Linked DNA regions of Sus scrofa. Each later gene encodes a partner of the first gene's protein in a complex. Links are inferred from orthologs where the notes say so. Each region holds a gene or a part of one and is shown in the gene's direction. Other genes may lie near its edges. The genes, in order: EXOSC3 and EXOSC5.

Region 1 (4,278 bases):
GCCCCCAGGCAAGAAGCAGGCCTAATCCACTCGGTAGGATCTGCCAGAAAGGCTCAGGAAGGAGGCCAAAAACAAGGTACGGCCTAGGAGCTAGAAGGTCCGTGGCCGATTGCACGGGCCCTGGTCTCCTATGCATTCCCCAGTCACTGAAGCCACTTTCACAGCCAGAAAACATTGAGCACGCCTTTCGGAAACAAGAACTTCGCAATCGCGGCCCAACGCCTCACTTAGTGCCGCCGTCAGGGTTCGCGGCTCCTAGCCGGACTCCGCACACTTGCTAATGGCCTCGGCTTCCCACGCAACCGCATGCAGGGCCTGCCCGCTGCTCCCATTTCGCGCTTACTCACCAGTGGCCACACGGCTCCGCGGCGGCGAAGCACCTACGTGGTGACACGCAGTGCCCAGGCCAGGCTGCCTTCCCGCCTCCCGGGTGCCTTCCAGCGTCCCACCCTCTGGGCACGCCCTTTTGGGAGGGTCGCGCAGAGCACCGCCCACGAGGTACTTTCGACCCGCCCCTCCCGGCCTCAGCTTCCTGTCTCAGGTAACCACTCTTTTCCAGGCCTCTGGTCTGTGGACTTAGGGATGTGCGTGCCCACGTGCCACCCCCACAGAAGTGCCCTTGTTAGGACTCCTCAGCCGTATCTGGGCTGAGTTCCTGACAGAGACTCCTCTACTGATGCCTGAGAGGCCATCCAGGGATCGTTTCCTGACCTCTCAGGCTGTAACCCAATGTCACTGAGCACAATTCAGGCATGGTCTTGGCCCAGTCGTGATTGAGTTAGTCTTGGTCACCTAATACCTACTGGATTCAGGTCTTCAGGAACTGGGTTGGAGTAGGGAGGAGAGAAAAATAATCTACACCATCCTTTCTGCAAAGGTAACCAACCAGATTGTTTTTACAGCAACTGACTACAAAACAAACAACAAAAATTACATTTCAGTTGACCTCTGGTATCTTATTTAGGTGTCTCACCAGTATCTTACAGAGTATGGAGAGTATATTAGAGGTAATCTCTTTTAAATATGATCAGAGCCACACCCTCCCAAATCCCCAGGAGCTCTGACTCCTACGATTATTTGGCTAAGGCTAATTGGAGGTGCCAGTTGACAGAGGAAACGGTGATTTAAAATTTTTTTTCTTTTTTTGGCCGCACTCGAGGCATGTGCAAGTTACTGGACCAGGGATGGAATCTGTGTCACAGCAAGGCCCCGAGTGAGAACTCTGGAAAATGATTTCAAGTGAGAGTCCTGAAAATCAGAAGAACAGAGCTGATGTGCTATTGATTTGGAATTCAACTGCTTTTCACATAGGCAACTAAAGCTAGCTCCAGGGAAAGCAGTAGCAAGGATTTAACTGCCATTAGCGATTTTTCTAAGCCAGCTAGGGGTAGCGCAATTATGTGGAAATATGCATGCAATATGTATCTATTCGAAGGGAGGAAAAAAGCCTAGGTAGAAATGCACATCAAAATGTTAACATTCATTCTTCCTTTTATTCACCGGGTATTACCTACTTCGTGCCAGGACCTGCGCTACAAACAATGGGAACTAGCTGACAATCTAGCAAGGGAGACAAACGGGCGGCAAGACTAACACGTTTTATGTTCTTATTCTTCTCTATGTTTTCCATTATGTGAATAGATATATTCTCAAGCAAAACCCAAAAAGATTTCATACTGAAAAAGAAAACACTTTTCCTCGTAAAGGTCCTTTTGAGGGCAGAGTCAGAAAGGAGAGCCAACTCAAGAAGGACCTCTGCTCAGTTCCTAAGGCTCCCCGGGAACCAAAGGTGGCGCCGTCTCGTATCGCACCGTCCGATCCGAGACACCGGAAGTGGAGGCTCCGCGACAGACTCAAGCTGCGCGTTTCTCCTGCTGACCACCGCAGGATTAGCGGCCGGCTAGAGACAATCATAGCTACCTTGGGGCAACCTCTGAGAGCACAGAACTGTCAGGCATCACTGCAGTAGTTTCAAGTCCCACAGGCCTGTGCTGCCGGAAACGGAAAGCTTTGGGTGGCCTGGCGATTGGACGCGGACCCGGAAGCCGGAAACTGTTTAGTTACACTCGCTATGGCTGAGCCAGCCGCTCATGCTGCGGAGTCCTTTGCTGGTTGCAGGGCGCGGGCAGCCCGTACAGTGCTGGATCAGGTGGTGCTCCCGGGTGAGGAGCTGCTGCTGCCTGAGCAGGAGGACGGAGAAGGCCCAGGAGGTGCAGGGGAGCGACCGCTGCGCCTGAACGCCGGAGCGCGCCCGCGGGTGCGCGTGGTGTGTGGCCCGGGCTTGCGGCGTTGTGGCGACCGGCTGCTGGTCACCAAGTGCGGCCGCCTCCGTCACAAGGAGGCCGGCGGCGGCGGCGGCAGTGGCGTCTATTGGGTGGACTCGCAGCAGAAGCGGGTGAGCCGGGTCTCCGAAGGGGTGGGACGGCCGGGAGAGGGCTGGGAAGACTCCTCGAGAGAAATACAGAAGGGACCCTGGAGCCCTCTTTTAAGGCTAGCCTACAGCTACCGTAGTCTTGTGCTTACCCTCCGCAACTCCTTTAGGGGGACTGTGAACAACTGTAAAGTGACCCGAGATGGGCGACCAGGAAAGGATTTTGGAGATCTTGTCACATAAGGGGATAAGGGCTGTGAGACACGTCATTATCTTCAAAACTCCAAAAGTCAAGGAGCCGCAGACTTGTCTTTGAGGGTCCCAAAGAACCAGGCTCAATGAGTAGATGTCACAGGGACTTATGCAAACAAACCACTGAACTCATGCAAACAAAAACTAGGGAGTTCCTGAGGATACAGGAACAGAAGGATACAGAAGAGTTGTGGAATACTGACTTAAGTGAACACATTATACTGTTTAGAAGCTGCAATCTTTAGAGCTTATCATGTGATTGCTTTTCTTCTACTGAAGGTGGCATGTGATCAAGTTTGTTTTAAGATTTGTATTGATTGGTAAACTTGGATTTCCAAATATTTTCTAAGTATTTCTAATGATAATAAAGTAACCACTAAGGACTTGCTGAAGATGTCTTCAAAATGACTGTCATTTATGGTCATTCATTCTCTCGTTGTGTTTTCTTTTGTAGTATGTTCCAGTCAAAGGAGACCATGTGATTGGCATAGTTACCGCTAAATCTGGAGATATATTCAAAGTTGATGTTGGAGGGAGTGAGCCAGCTTCTTTATCTTACTTGGCATTTGAAGGTGCAACTAAAAGAAACAGACCAAATGTTCAGGTAATGACAGGACCTTTGGTTTCAAAAGTAAGAAAAATACCCAATCCCTAAACACTCAGATATCCAGAGGGCTATCTTAAGTGTCTTATTTTCCCAGTTTCTATAGGATGACTTATCACTCCAGGCTTTAAGAGCCCTTTGAGATGCTCGCTCTGGGACCAGACCTCATACTTATTTTTCATTTGCTCCATCAGGGGATGTTTTCATCTCTACTGAGTTGAAAGATTATATCTGTTTTCTCCATTGTTATTATGTCTATATGCCCTGGACAAGGCAATAGGCTCAGGGAGGAAAGAGGGGAAAGTGGTGCACATTGCCATGTCAGTTGTCTATCCCAGTGTGAGTCCCAGGAGTAGCATCTCACAGCTTGTCAGATCACTTTCCCAGCAATCCCTTTTTTGTAGCTGACAGAGGTGCAGTCATGTTTTCATTTGGGGCTTTTCAGGTAGCATGGTCACACTCTTCCTGCCAATCTAAGTCAGAAATTTGGTGGCTTCTTTGCTCTTCTCACTCACCTCTCTTGTGTCTTTATTATTTATTTATTTATTTATTTGTGTCTTTTTAGGGCCATGCCTGTGGCACATGGAGATTCCCAGGCAAGGGGTCCAATCGGAGCTACAGCTGCCAGCCTACACCACAGCCACAGCAACGCTGGATCCTTAACCCACTGAGCGAGGCCAGGGATCAAACCCTCAACCTCATGGTTCCAAGTTGGATTGTTTCCCATGCACCACAACGACGGAACTCCACCTCTCTTGTGTCTTTAGTTGTTTAATCTTATTGATCCTTTTTGAGTCTTACCTCTGATCTTCCACATGTCCACCCCTTTATCTCCACTTTGCAAGTTCAGGCCTTAGCTATCTCTCTTCACTGACTTAATCTGTGACCTCCTTATTAACATCCTTTTTGTACACTTTTGCCCCTCCATCCAGGCTTTTAAGAACTGACACAACTCTTTCTCCCCCTACCCACGCCACCCCCAAAAGTTCTTTAAAGCTTACGTATTTCCTTGGCTGATACTCAGAGGTCTCCTCTCATCCATAGTGATATT
Region 2 (3,247 bases), on another chromosome or scaffold:
AATGCTGCCTGCATGGCACTGGTGGATGCGGGTGTGCCCATGCGGGCCCTCTTCTGTGGGGTCACCTGTGCTCTGGACTCCGATGGGACCTTCATGCTGGACCCCACAGCCAAGCAAGAAAAGGTAGGTATGAAGGGCCAGGTAGTGGAAAGTTTCTCCCTTCCTCCTCCAGGTCTCGCTTCAAAACACTTGGCTTGTGGTGTTCCTGATGGGGTTCAGCAGAAATGAATCTGACTAGCATCCATGAGGATGCAGGTTCGATCCCTGGCCTCGCTCAGTGGGTTAAGGATCTAGCATTGGCGTGAGCTGTGGTGTAGGCCGCAGCTGCAGTCCAATTCACCCTGTCTTGGGAACCTCCATGTGCTGTGGGTGTGGCCCTAAAAAGACCAAAAAACAAACAAAAAAAACAAAATGGTTGGCTTGTACCACTTCAGTCCCAGCTGGCAAGCTCTGCTCCATTCATCTGGGCAAGTGCTGGAAACCCAACTCTAGCCCACTTCAACAAAAAGAGAAATGATTTTAAGAGGTGCAGAAGCAAAGAAGGAGAGAGCTTTTTCTTCACTGGCTCAAGTTCATAGTGTGCTGGGGCTCTGGTTATTCCTAGTTATCTGCCCAAGACTGAAACAGTCACATCCAGGTGGGAAAGCCAAAACCCCTTGGGGGATTTCAGACAGAGGGAATTTAATGCAGGGAACTGATTACAATCATATTGGAAGAACTGAAAGCAAAAAAAGAAGGGAGGACGCCCAGAGATTAGGCGCCCTGAAGCCAACTCCTGCTCTGTGCTATTGGAGACACTGGTACGGTTTCCATGGCAGGCAATATACCCCAAACTCCTGCTACTACAAGGACCAGGATGCTGCTCTGCTTCCTTCCAGTCTCCCACCAGATTCCTGGGGAAACCTAACTAGCAGGAGAATCTGGAAATACAGTTTGCTGGCTTCCAGCCCCAGGGGCACAGAGCAACAAGGGGAGGCTGGGAGACACAGGCGAATGACCGACACATGGCTGCCCTGTGGCCCAGGATACAGTGCTCAGAAGCCCCTGTCAGAACCATGTGGTAGAGTCGTGTGGGCAACCATTTCCCGGGGGAGCAGGGACGGGGTAGTATGTACACACAAAAAAAATCACTAGTGTTCATGAGAATGTGGGTTTGATCCCTGGCCTCGCCCAGTGGGTTCAGGATCCGGTGTTGCCATAAGCTGCAGTAAGTCATGGAGGCAGCTTGGGTCCCACATGACTGTGGTGTAGGCCCAGCAGCTGCAGCTCCAATTCAGACCCTAGACTGGGAACTTCCATATGCCGTAGGTGTGGCCCTGAAAAGAAAAATTGTAAAAGTAAGCCCCCCTCTTTGAGACAACTGAGATTGTGGCTGAGGGGAGAGTCCCAGGTCCCCCACCTTGTACCCCTTGTCCCTAGGAGGCCCGGGCGGTCCTGACCTTTGCTCTTGACAGTGTGGAACGGAAGCTGCTGATGTCCACCACCAAGGGACTCTACTCAGATGCTGAGGTACCAGCCTGCAACGGGGTGAAAGCCAGGTCCTTCCTGTCCACCTGATAAGAGGCCCTATTCCAACCCTGAGAGGCTTAAGGAGAGCCCCTTCCATGCCTGCCTTCTGTAAATAGGAGGCGTTTTCAAACTTTTAGCCTTAGAGACCTTTGGGAATTTTTAAAGGGAGCCCAGTTTATGAGAAGAGAGGAGGGGCTCAGGTTGAAATCAGGAGCTGGGAGCACCTGAAGGCCTTCCAGCTTCCAGCTCAGAGCTGCACGCTCTGGAATTCAGGGTGTCTGAAAAACAGAGTGGCCACTGTTGGGCCAGGTGGTCTCCAGGAGCATTGCCCACCTGGCCTTCCTGTGAGTCCAGGCACACATGGCAGTAAAGATGTGGGGGCTTGGATTCTGTAGCTCTGAAATTCCAATCTCTGATTCCAGAGCCCGGCAGGTTGGAATCGCTTCCAGGGGTCAGGATGGCTGATCCTGTTAATCTGAGCACCATTGCCCTGGAACTGATGGAATCTGACCCCTGAAGCCTTCCCCGTTCCCCCGCCCCCAAGGAGCCCGGGACGTGGGGAAGAAGGAAATACACTTGTAATTTCCCTCACCCCCCTGCCTCGCTGGGGTGAGGGGGACACCCAGTGAAGGGGGGTAGTAGGTTTGTGGGTTCTGGGGGTCAGGTGGGGCCGGGGGAACCTCCTGGCCCCCCAGCACCCACCCAGCTCTCCTTCCAGCTCCAGCAGTGCCTGGCTGCAGCCCAGACTGCCTCCCAACACGTCTTCCGCTTCTACCGGGAATCGCTGCAGAGGCGTTACTCCAAGAGCTGAGGCAGCCAAGAGCTGAGGCAGGCCAGGGCAGGTGCCCCTCCCGCCACCGCCCACTCCCTCCAGTACCAACTAAACCAGCAGCCCGGCCCTGCCTGTCTGTCCTTGTGCGTGGGGGTGAGCTTGTGGCTCTGTCACTGCAGGAGCCCCTAACCTGCCAGGAATGTGTGGCTAATAGCCCCAGGGTCTGCCCCACCCCAAGAAAACGGATTGTGCATTTATTGAATGAACCTACTCATCTCAACAGCCCTGCAAGGCCTGTTACAGTGTGTGGGCCCTACCAGGTGCTGAGGCCATGGCAATGTATGGGACCCAGGTCCTGGGTTTTGAGAAGCAGTGCTGTGATAGACAAATAAAATTTGTGTTTGTTGGAGAGTGGTAAATGCTATTTTGAAAAAAGAAAAGCAGGGAAGAGGGTTTCAGCGAGTTCATTTGGGGAAGGCAGATGGAATACAGTCTGGGGCACCTTCATGGGAGGAGTCTGAGGGAAGCCCAGGAGGAAGCCGGGATGCGCTCAGTGGATACCTGGGGAGATGACCCCCTGGCAGCGGGTTTTGAGGGCCTCGGAGGGGAGTCTGGCCTCTGCGTGCTGCTTTTACTCACTCAAAAAGGGTGTGGTTGGGCTGTTATAGTCCCTTTGTAAGAAAACAAGCTCAGAAGCCAGTTAACTGCCAGAGGTCACCAGCTGGTTAGTGGTGGAGCATGGGTCCCACTCAGAACCTATACCCAGAGCCTCCACTGTTCGGGCAAACCCGGGAGATGCGGGTCTGGTACACTCTGCACTTTGCTTCCCTGCCTGTGAACGGGGGTGGCTGAGGTCTGTTGGTTCTCAGTCACGGGTGGCAGCATCTCACAAGGGCTTTTGAAAATGGGCGTATTCTGTGCCACAGCAGCAACCCAAGCCATTGCAGTGACAACCCCCGAACCTTG

The links.
Region 2: EXOSC3 (region 1) and EXOSC5 share a complex: the UniProt entries of both Homo sapiens proteins name them as parts of the RNA exosome core complex. The link is inferred for Sus scrofa from reciprocal best matches to the Homo sapiens genes EXOSC3 and EXOSC5.

What each region holds. Positions count from the first base shown.
Region 1 is NC_010443.5:238,538,906-238,543,183, reverse strand, and holds the start of EXOSC3 (exosome complex component RRP40), read left to right. Parts: upstream 1-1,427; 5' UTR 1,428-2,071; coding exon 2,072-2,395; intron 2,396-3,077; coding exon 3,078-3,227; intron 3,228-4,278. UniProt on the Homo sapiens protein: Non-catalytic component of the RNA exosome complex which has 3'->5' exoribonuclease activity and participates in a multitude of cellular RNA processing and degradation events.
Region 2 is NC_010448.4:49,372,821-49,376,067, reverse strand, and holds the end of EXOSC5 (exosome complex component RRP46), read left to right. Parts: coding exon 1-123; intron 124-1,419; coding exon 1,420-1,509; intron 1,510-2,227; coding exon 2,228-2,320; 3' UTR 2,321-2,690; downstream 2,691-3,247. UniProt on the Homo sapiens protein: Non-catalytic component of the RNA exosome complex which has 3'->5' exoribonuclease activity and participates in a multitude of cellular RNA processing and degradation events.